Caenorhabditis elegans: one gene and its partner. The protein of the gene in region 1 interacts with the protein of each later gene in a biochemical or structural test. Each region holds a gene or a part of one and is shown in the gene's direction. Other genes may lie near its edges.

What was found.
Region 2: of the proteins of lin-10 (region 1) and cdk-5, one has a biochemical effect on the other in vitro, tested with the Caenorhabditis elegans proteins (one study listed by BioGRID).

What each region holds. Positions count from the first base shown.
Region 1 is NC_003279.8:8,116,273-8,121,164, reverse strand, and holds the start of lin-10 (Protein lin-10), read left to right. Parts: upstream 1-1,850; 5' UTR 1,851-1,851; coding exon 1,852-2,002; intron 2,003-2,647; coding exon 2,648-2,886; intron 2,887-3,485; coding exon 3,486-3,575; intron 3,576-3,783; coding exon 3,784-3,835; intron 3,836-4,298; coding exon 4,299-4,522; intron 4,523-4,892. UniProt on the Caenorhabditis elegans protein: Required specifically for the determination of 3 vulval precursor cell fates P5.p, P6.p and P7.p during late second and early third larval stages; required for basolateral localization of receptor tyrosine kinase let-23.
Region 2 is NC_003281.10:13,464,163-13,468,177, reverse strand, and holds cdk-5 (Cyclin-dependent-like kinase 5), read left to right. Parts: upstream 1-1,835; 5' UTR 1,836-1,882; coding exon 1,883-1,919; intron 1,920-1,966; coding exon 1,967-2,055; intron 2,056-2,100; coding exon 2,101-2,554; intron 2,555-2,609; coding exon 2,610-2,740; intron 2,741-3,140; coding exon 3,141-3,221; intron 3,222-3,252; exon of another isoform or gene 3,253-3,273; coding exon 3,274-3,360; 3' UTR 3,361-3,491; downstream 3,492-4,015. Other genes in the region: kel-3 (BTB domain-containing protein), read right to left, coding at 175-344, 914-1,092, 1,143-1,217, 1,261-1,348, 1,402-1,599; ant-1.1 (ADP/ATP translocase), read right to left, coding at 3,839-4,015. UniProt on the Caenorhabditis elegans protein: Proline-directed serine/threonine-protein kinase which, in several motor neurons, promotes the polarized trafficking of synaptic vesicles and dense-core vesicles (DCV).

The sequences.
Region 1 (4,892 bases):
TCAACATTTTTTAACTTTGAACTAACTTTGAACGGAATTTTCGGCTTGAACTCTAATCTCAAAATTGAAAAGTTTACTTTTTTGCCATCTATTCCGCAATAACAGTAAACGTGAAATTATTCACACTTTTTTCCATCTTTATATACTCTCTCGTTCATCTACCAGTTTTGTATTGTCCATTCGTCCATCACAAATTCCCATTCATCCCGTCATCTGGTGTATTCTTTCCGTTTTTGATACTTTTTTGTCTGTGCCCTGGAAAAGAGTTGGATGGAAAGAGAGAGTGAAGGAAAACGATGGAAAAGAGCAGAATTAGCATAATTATGACACTTTTTCTCTCGCCTCTTCCCTATTTTTCTCAACCCCGCGCTGCTCGAATGAGAAACGTCTCGAATAGGTTTTAAAGCTTCAACTTTTTACTGTTCTAATGTTTTCATTTATTTCCAAGAATTTAGTTGATCATTCACGATTCCCATGGCTTAGGTCAAAAATTAGAAATACTTTGCGGAATTCTATCACAATGCAGTTATATTTTCACATTTTTAGAACTTGTCCTAAAATACAAGAAGTTATCTTTATTTTCAACATCTGGAAAAAATTCGTTTTCAACATCTAAAGCGACAATTGGAAAATTGTCAATTGAAAGTCATTTAGTTAGCGGCTTACATTAATACAATTGTTTGGTTAAACATATTTTTCAAACGCCCTCAAAAGTCCAAAAAGCACTCGATATTTTGGAGATTAGCAAGCACGGCATAAAAGAAACAGCAAAAAAAGAAAACGACACGTGTCATATATTTGGCTGAGAAAGTAGGGATTAGAGTGTCGAAGAAACATGACAAATGAATTGGCATTCAGAAGACGTGCATACATGGCACGACATATTGCTTCGGGAACTCCTTACACTGCATTTTTTGGTTTCCTCAATGTATATTTTGTTTCACGATCAGTCTCCGCTTGTTGTTCTTTTTTCTTATGCTCCAGTGGGAAAAATGTTAAAAACTACACCTATAGTGCACCCATGATGAAAATATCATTCTAACACTTTCCAACATTTTTTGAAAATGTTATATTTACATTAATAGCAATTAATCAGTTTCCACCTATCATAATTGGTCCAATACATTGTTTAATTTTAAGTTCGCTTCAATTATTTACAAGTGAACCTAGAACCTAGGTCTTCGCATTTGCAGCATTGCTCTAAATTAATGAAAAACTCCAATTTTTTTAATTGGCAATTTACCAACATTTTCATTTGAAAGTATTTTATTTAGATATAATAATAATAATAATTTATTACGCTCGCTGGGAGACGTGAAGGAATACAGAATACAAAAGTTATCATTGTTCGCTTGTACTAGAATTGGTGCAGTCGGGCAATTGTTTCCATTCCATTAGAATGTTGTCCTTGTCCTTGCGTTGTCCTTGCGTAGACTCCCCCATAGTGGGCGAGCGATTCCCGAGTGAAAATATGTAGATTTTTAGATATGTAGATATGTAGATATGTAGATTTTTTACTACATAATTGTAAGTCTGTGTAGATTCGAACTCCATGTTGTGTTACAGTACTTCCGAACACGATCTTAAAACTTTTTGAGCATCTCCCATTTTCTCATTTTAGGAAAAAATTTAACTTATAACTTCGAGGTGACAATTGTTAATTCTAAATTTTCCCACGTTAACTCTCTCTCTGTCTGCTTCTCTCTTGTCCCTCTTCTTCATCGCTCTAATTAATTCGCGTGTGAGACGAGAGAAGAGCATCCAATAATCCATGTCCTTTTCCCGCTTCCTCTCTCTTTCCCTCATCTTCCTATCTATTTTCCATCGGACCATGAACAATTCTGTTGCAGGATGTCATCTGAAGCAGTAGCACAAGCCACAGCCGCCACGACGTCTCCTGAACACGGGGTCCCCACATCATCGGCCACGCCTACTCCTCCGCCGAGCAAAGGGGGTGGAGCCGGTGGTGGTGGGGGAGGAGAGCAACAACAAGTCCCATTTCGTTAGTTTTACAAGAGATTTTGAATTAAAGTGTAAACAAATATACCAGACTTCAAGTTTTTTGAGTGTCATTTTTCAAATTTAGATGGTGTGTTTAAATATTCCCGGATCTTCAAAAATCTGATGTTTAGATATTTGAAAAAGCAAGACAAAATCAAATCAGTTAAAAAAAATATGAAAAAAACACAATAACACAGAAAAAAGGCTCTGAAATCCAGATAGGTTCAGTCTGATTTGCCAGCCCTAGTAAGACTATATTAACTTTTCGTAAGGAATTGCTCCTTCGTTTTGGTCAACCTTTCCTCAAATATTTTCACTCGAAGAATAAGAAAAAATAGAGGGGATATTATTGTTTTTCGAACCTTCTCGATTAAAAATTCCCTGTCTTCTCCTCTTCTTCTTATTTTTCCCCGCCGCCGCCTGACCACAAAAATAGGCTATTATTCATATGGCTGGACGTCTTTCATGTTGCCTTCCCTACAAAAATCTATTTTACACGGAAGTATAAGAAAATATTTTAAATATATTGCACTAGGAAACTTCTGTGCACAGAATGAAAATGTATGACATTGGTTATTTATATTTGCTTACTTAACACAATTAAAATAGGAAAAGCTTGTTCTTCAATATATTCGATTTTTTACAGAAATGATCCCTCCTGGTCATTTTTTCGCAAATCCCTTCTTGAATCCGTATATTCCAACAGCGGGTGCTCCTGCTCAGGAGGGTGAAGCTCAACCTCAGATGGTATTCTCTCCAGCTCAATATCAGGAAGTCATGCATCATTATTTTCAACAAATGATGGCCGCGAGTGGAGCACAGTTTCCGATTCCGTTTCCCATGCAATTTCAGCCGGCTCTTCAACAGCCAAGACCTTCTTCTCAGGTTTGTTTTATAAAGCGTTATTTTACAAAAACAATTGAAACACTGTCAATTTTTCATTAGAAGCAGTTTTTAAAACTGGGGTTGATAAGCTTTAAAAAAATGAAGGAAATGACATTAGTCATCAGAAAATGTATGTTTCGCAATTTTGGAACATTGTTGTACAACTAGAAAAGTTGCGAAATTTATTTTTGCAGAAAGAACTATTTTTAGAGCTCTCGAAATTGTTTTATTCACAATAAAAACATGTGAACTGGAAAAACCATATAATTTTCTGATTTGGCGAATTTGCCACAATATAATAACCTAAGACATTACATGCTTATTGGATGTTTGATGATGCATGGCTGACACCCGCTCGAGGCGTGTGAGAGGCGCCTCCGTCACTCTCTGCCGGCTAGAAATTCTAATTTTGATGTAACCTAGTCAAGCTCACAAGAAGTTCACAAATTCTTATTACAAAGTTATGCTTCTGCATTGATGCAGAACAGTATTTGATATTTCTAGACATTGAAATAGATCTAGAAATATATTACCAAAAGCAATGCATTTATGGCTCCCAAAATTCTCATCTGCACTTCATAACCTTCAAGTATTCTCAGGCATCATCATCTCATCGCTCAGAAGACGATAACGGAAGGCAGACAGCTGGCAGTGTTGTGTCCTCTAATGTGTCACCAAATCATCGAGAGGTTCGTTTACGGCAGAGCCCAAACACTTGAACTCACAAGCAAAACGCTGGAAATTAGGCGAAGTGATGACTTGGGGAGCTTCTTCATGTTCTTCCTGTAGCTCTAAAATAAATAAATGTGGTTCGGGAATTTAAAAGATAAAATTTTAAAAAATGTTCATTAAAATATACTTCTAGTTTAGAAATCAAACTCAGTCTTTAATTTTTAGGTGAGACCAGCAGAAGATTCTACGGAAACAAGCGGCGTTGTTCAAAATAATGGTTAGTTGGTTTTTCACTTTTAGAAATTCAGGCCAAATGCCAGAAGATCAGTCATTATCTCAAACGTTTGGCGTACAGTTTTCACAGAACGTATTAAGTTTCCTTCTTCGTCTAGTGGAATGTAAAACTCCAACTTTAAAAATTTCGAATAAATTGCATTTTCCAAAAGTTCTTCAGAAAATCTTCAAAAAAGATCCAGCATGTATCTCATTTGTCACAAGTGAGCATGTAACACGAGAACATTTTGGTGAGAAGAAGAGACAAGAGAGATATCTCTGCGTCTCTTATCATCTCACACTCTCTCTTTTTGCTCAGCCGATTTACTAATTGTTCCATGTCCGAAAGGAGTTGTACGTCTCCCACCATCATGTCTGGACGGAACTTAGAGACCACACGAAAAGTTGAAGGGATTTCCCCTGAACATTTTTCTAATTGTCAATTTTCAAACCTAAATATGTTTCAGATGAGCTTCTTGTACCAACTTCCACGTCATCCGATGTGACAATTGGTGACGTCATCGAAAAATCAGATTCTCCTGAAAATTCGCAAGAATCAGCGGGAGGAGAGGAGAAAAGTGAAGAAAAGCGGAAATTATCCGGTGATCGAACGGATTCACTCATTCGAAAACAAATGAGTGAAATGGAAAAAGAGATAACACGACGATCACAGAATAAAAATATTAAAACGGTATGTCGTTCGGTTTCGGAATTTTGAGAATTAATTCTTGAAAAAAAAAAGTTTTTCACTGAAATCTATGATCAAAGTTCCTAAAGCCAAATGTGAAAAACTCAATTTATGGAGTCACATAGTATGCGCATAGAATGTGCAAGAAACCTCCAACTTTCCCAAAAATAACAACTGTTTTCGAATATTTGGAATATGCCAAAACTTTGACACAAATTTTTGAAAAAACCTGAACATTTTTGGCTGTTGTTTTATTTCGATAGACCTTTTTTCTTTTAGACCTTTCTACATGTTTTGGCAAAATTTCCACTGGCGCTACACCACTTTTAAACAATAAGCATTAGACCATTAGAACTGTGAACTTTAGATATCG
Region 2 (4,015 bases), on another chromosome or scaffold:
ATCAAATTTTTTGTCGTTTTTTCTCAAGTTTAAGATTTTTTACGAAAAATGTAAAATTTTTTTCCAAAAAATCTGAAACTTTTTAGTTATCAATTCTATATCGTTGCAAACAAAAAAAAATATATTTGAAGCAAAATTGAGTTTTTATTCTCAAAATAATATCGAAAATCTAACTTCGCTGCCTGTTCGTGTCTGATCACATCACAATTTAACCATTCCATCGCAGCGACATACACTTGTTCTTCAGAATCCACGTATAAATGATCATTTCTTAACAATTCAATTGCATCTTCTAGTGATAGTCTCTTGAAGTCCTCATCTTTGGATACTGCCATGAAATGTTTCTGAAATTTAAAACTGATTATATAAATATGTAAATTTTTGACTTTTAAAAATTAATTTATATTTGAACACTACAGTAATCTTTAAAGGCGCACACGCTTTTGGATTTTCCAAAATCGTTCTTCGTTTTTTTTTTGTTTGAAAATAGTGAAAAATCGAAATATTTCATTTTTCCATTTTAGAAAATTAGAAAAATCAAAAATAAAAATTCTGATAATTACCGAAAAATTCGAACATTCATGTTTTCGATTTTTGATTTTTTTTGAATTTTTCTGTTTTTTTTTTCGATTTTTCGGAAAATCTAAAATTTTCGATTTCTCGATTCTTTGCAAATTGCAAAGAATTGAACTTTTTTGATTTTTGGTTTTCTCTGAAAACTACCGAAAAATTTGAAAATTTTGTATTTTTTCATTATAAAAAATCCGAAAAATCGAAATTATTTGTTTTTCGATTTATTAAAGATCTTGAAAATCAAAAATTCTCTTTAAAGGCGCACATGCGTTTATATCGTACAAAAATCGATCGTGTCGAGACCTGGAAATCTTCTTGACAAAACTGTGATCGTTTTTACCTGTATATAGTCATCAGTCATTTCTGTAATCTTCTCCTCGACGCACATCATTTTACAAAATTCTCGAATTGAAAGTGCATTTGACGGATGAAGACGAGTCAGGAGAAAGTTTCCACAATGTTGCACAACTTCCAGCATTTGGAAAAAGTTTGCTCCTAACATTATTGATTGAACGTTGCCTGGAAACGAAAATCTAAATAAAGATTTCTTCAAACAAAAAAATACTTACTTGTGGTTATTCTCAATTCTCCGGTATACGCAAATGACAGAAGAGCATCCACAGTTTCGTAGTTCATATCTGAATCTGGTTTATTTTTTTTTAGTAAAAATAACTTTCAGAGTTTTACCTTCAATATTTATCTCTTTCATGTTGGCTTCCATCAAATCCAATGTGAACATACCGCGAAAATATGGAATTGTGGCTGCGAGTATTACCTGAAAGCTTGATTTCGGTTAGAAAAAGTCGCATTAAATTGCTTTAAAATTACTTTGTGTGCTGATAGCTTTCGATTTTCAACCAACAAGGCCACATCGCAGAGCTGACATTTCGATCGCAGTTCGTTGAATATTGAGTAGCTTTTTTTATACATTTCATCGAGAATATCGACTTTTATAAAGTCCAAATCGTCATCTGTGTAGAGGGGGATTTTCGCAATTTTATCATGCTTCACGTCAGATGCGAACATTCTGAAATTGAACATATTTTTAAAAAATTCATAAACTTTATAACAGAACAAAACATCTTATATTTATAAGATCTTATTCTCCCACGAGAATGCCGAATTAAAACACGAGAAATGCGCAAACAAGAGAGCATAGAGATTTGAGAGACACAAACAAACATCGCAAAGTACGCCAGCAACCACTCCTTGACGCATATTGATTTTGTGAAGCTAAGAATTCGATTTTTCATTTAATTTTTACAAGGTTTACAAGAGAAGAAATTTAATCAGTTTTCCCACCTCAAAAATGCTTAACTATGATAAAATGGAAAAAATTGGAGAAGGTAAGCTATTCCCTGCCCATTTTTCCAGCCAAATTGTTGACTTTCAGGAACCTACGGAACCGTTTTCAAAGCCAGAAACAAAAATTCAGGAGAAATCGTTGCGTTGAAAAGAGTAAGGTTGGACGATGATGATGAGGTACTCAAAAAGCATTCAAAAAAATAAACTAAAATTCAAATTCAGGGTGTTCCAAGCTCTGCTCTCCGTGAAATTTGTATTCTCCGCGAGCTGAAACACCGAAATGTAGTAAGGCTCTACGACGTTGTTCACTCAGAAAACAAGTTGACACTGGTTTTTGAGTATTGCGATCAGGATTTGAAAAAATTTTTCGACTCGCTGAATGGGTATATGGATGCACAAACTGCACGATCCTTAATGCTTCAACTTCTCCGTGGTTTATCCTTTTGCCACGCTCACCATGTACTTCATCGAGATCTCAAGCCGCAAAACCTGCTGATTAATACAAATGGGACACTGAAACTAGCTGATTTTGGATTAGCCAGGGCGTTTGGCGTCCCAGTTCGATGTTTTAGTGCAGAAGTTGTCACGTTATGGTATAGACCGCCGGACGTGCTTTTTGGAGCGAAATTGTACAATACTTCAATTGATATGTGGTCTGCCGGGTGTATTTTTGCAGGTTTTTTTTAAAAATTAAATTTGCCAATAAATTTTCCTAATTTTTACTTTTTCAGAGATCTCAAATGCCGGTCGTCCATTATTCCCCGGTGCTGATGTTGACGATCAATTGAAACGAATTTTTAAGCAATTGGGCAGCCCATCCGAAGATAATTGGCCATCAATTACACAACTTCCAGATTATAAGGTATTACATGTCGTAGTTCTTTGAATTTTTTGTATTTTCACCTCTACATATTCTTATCAAATTCTCTTAGTTCTCTAATTCCGTCTTCTTATCTTTTCCATTTTACCTGCCACGATTTTGCCGCTGTCCTGTCCTCCCGACTACTATCCGCCCGTGTCAATTGGTGAAAAACTAAAAAAGAAAAAGATAGAAAGAAGAAATGATATTGAGTACTTTGAGCTCAGCTGTTTGTTCGGGTGACGTAATTCATACAATCACGGGCGGCTGGGACAGGACAGAGAACAGAGTATTGAGTAGATTTAGAGAAGCAGAGACAACTGTTCTAGATTTAAGATTGACAATAATTAATTGAATTCCATTGCATTATAGGAACACACAAGTATAACATACCATTTTTCAGCCCTACCCAATCTACCATCCAACGCTTACATGGAGCCAAATCGTACCTAATTTGAATTCACGTGGCCGTGATCTTTTACAGGTAACTTTTTTCCAATAAAAATTATACTTACTCAAACTCGAAGTATTTGCAGAAACTTCTTGTTTGCAATCCAGCAGGAAGAATCGATGCCGATGCAGCTCTACGCCATGCGTACTTCGCAGACACTTCTGACGTCTAACTATTCACTATTGCACTTTCCTACTCACATTGTTTTCTCGCTTTCCCTGGCATTCACTTCCCCCACTGACCCCAAATGAACCTCATTGCTTGCGAAACAAAATCTCATCGTTAATAAACGGCTACGGTTTGAAATCTTTCTGTGGCACATAATTGAACGAAGGGAAAATCAACAACGTTTTATTGTTGTTCGAGTAATTTTAAAGATCAACGGCAAACACAGGTGCAATAACCGAGATTGTCAAACCGAGTCCAGATAAAGGGGCTATCCTAACGAATGTTCAATCGGGGTGTTGAGGGAAAGAATGAGAATTTGAAAAGGGGAAAACTTTAATAGAGGATTTAAAACTTTTTATGTGGCTCGCTTTATTTTTGAAAACTTAACATAGTAGCTAGGTGAACTACTTTGCTAAAACAAGCTACATAACGAGATTTTGTTGGACAATGACAAGGTAAAAATTATCAAAGTGTTATCAAATTTAAAGGAACTTCTGGATTTCGTCGTAGATGGCCAAGACGAGGGCTCCTCCGGTTCCACGGAAGACGTTGGAGAGGGCTCCCTTGAACATAGCGGACATTCCTTCGTTTTGGATGATCTTCTTTGCGCAATCGAGGGTGTTTTTGTAGAGGATATCCTTGCGTCCAGACTGCATCAT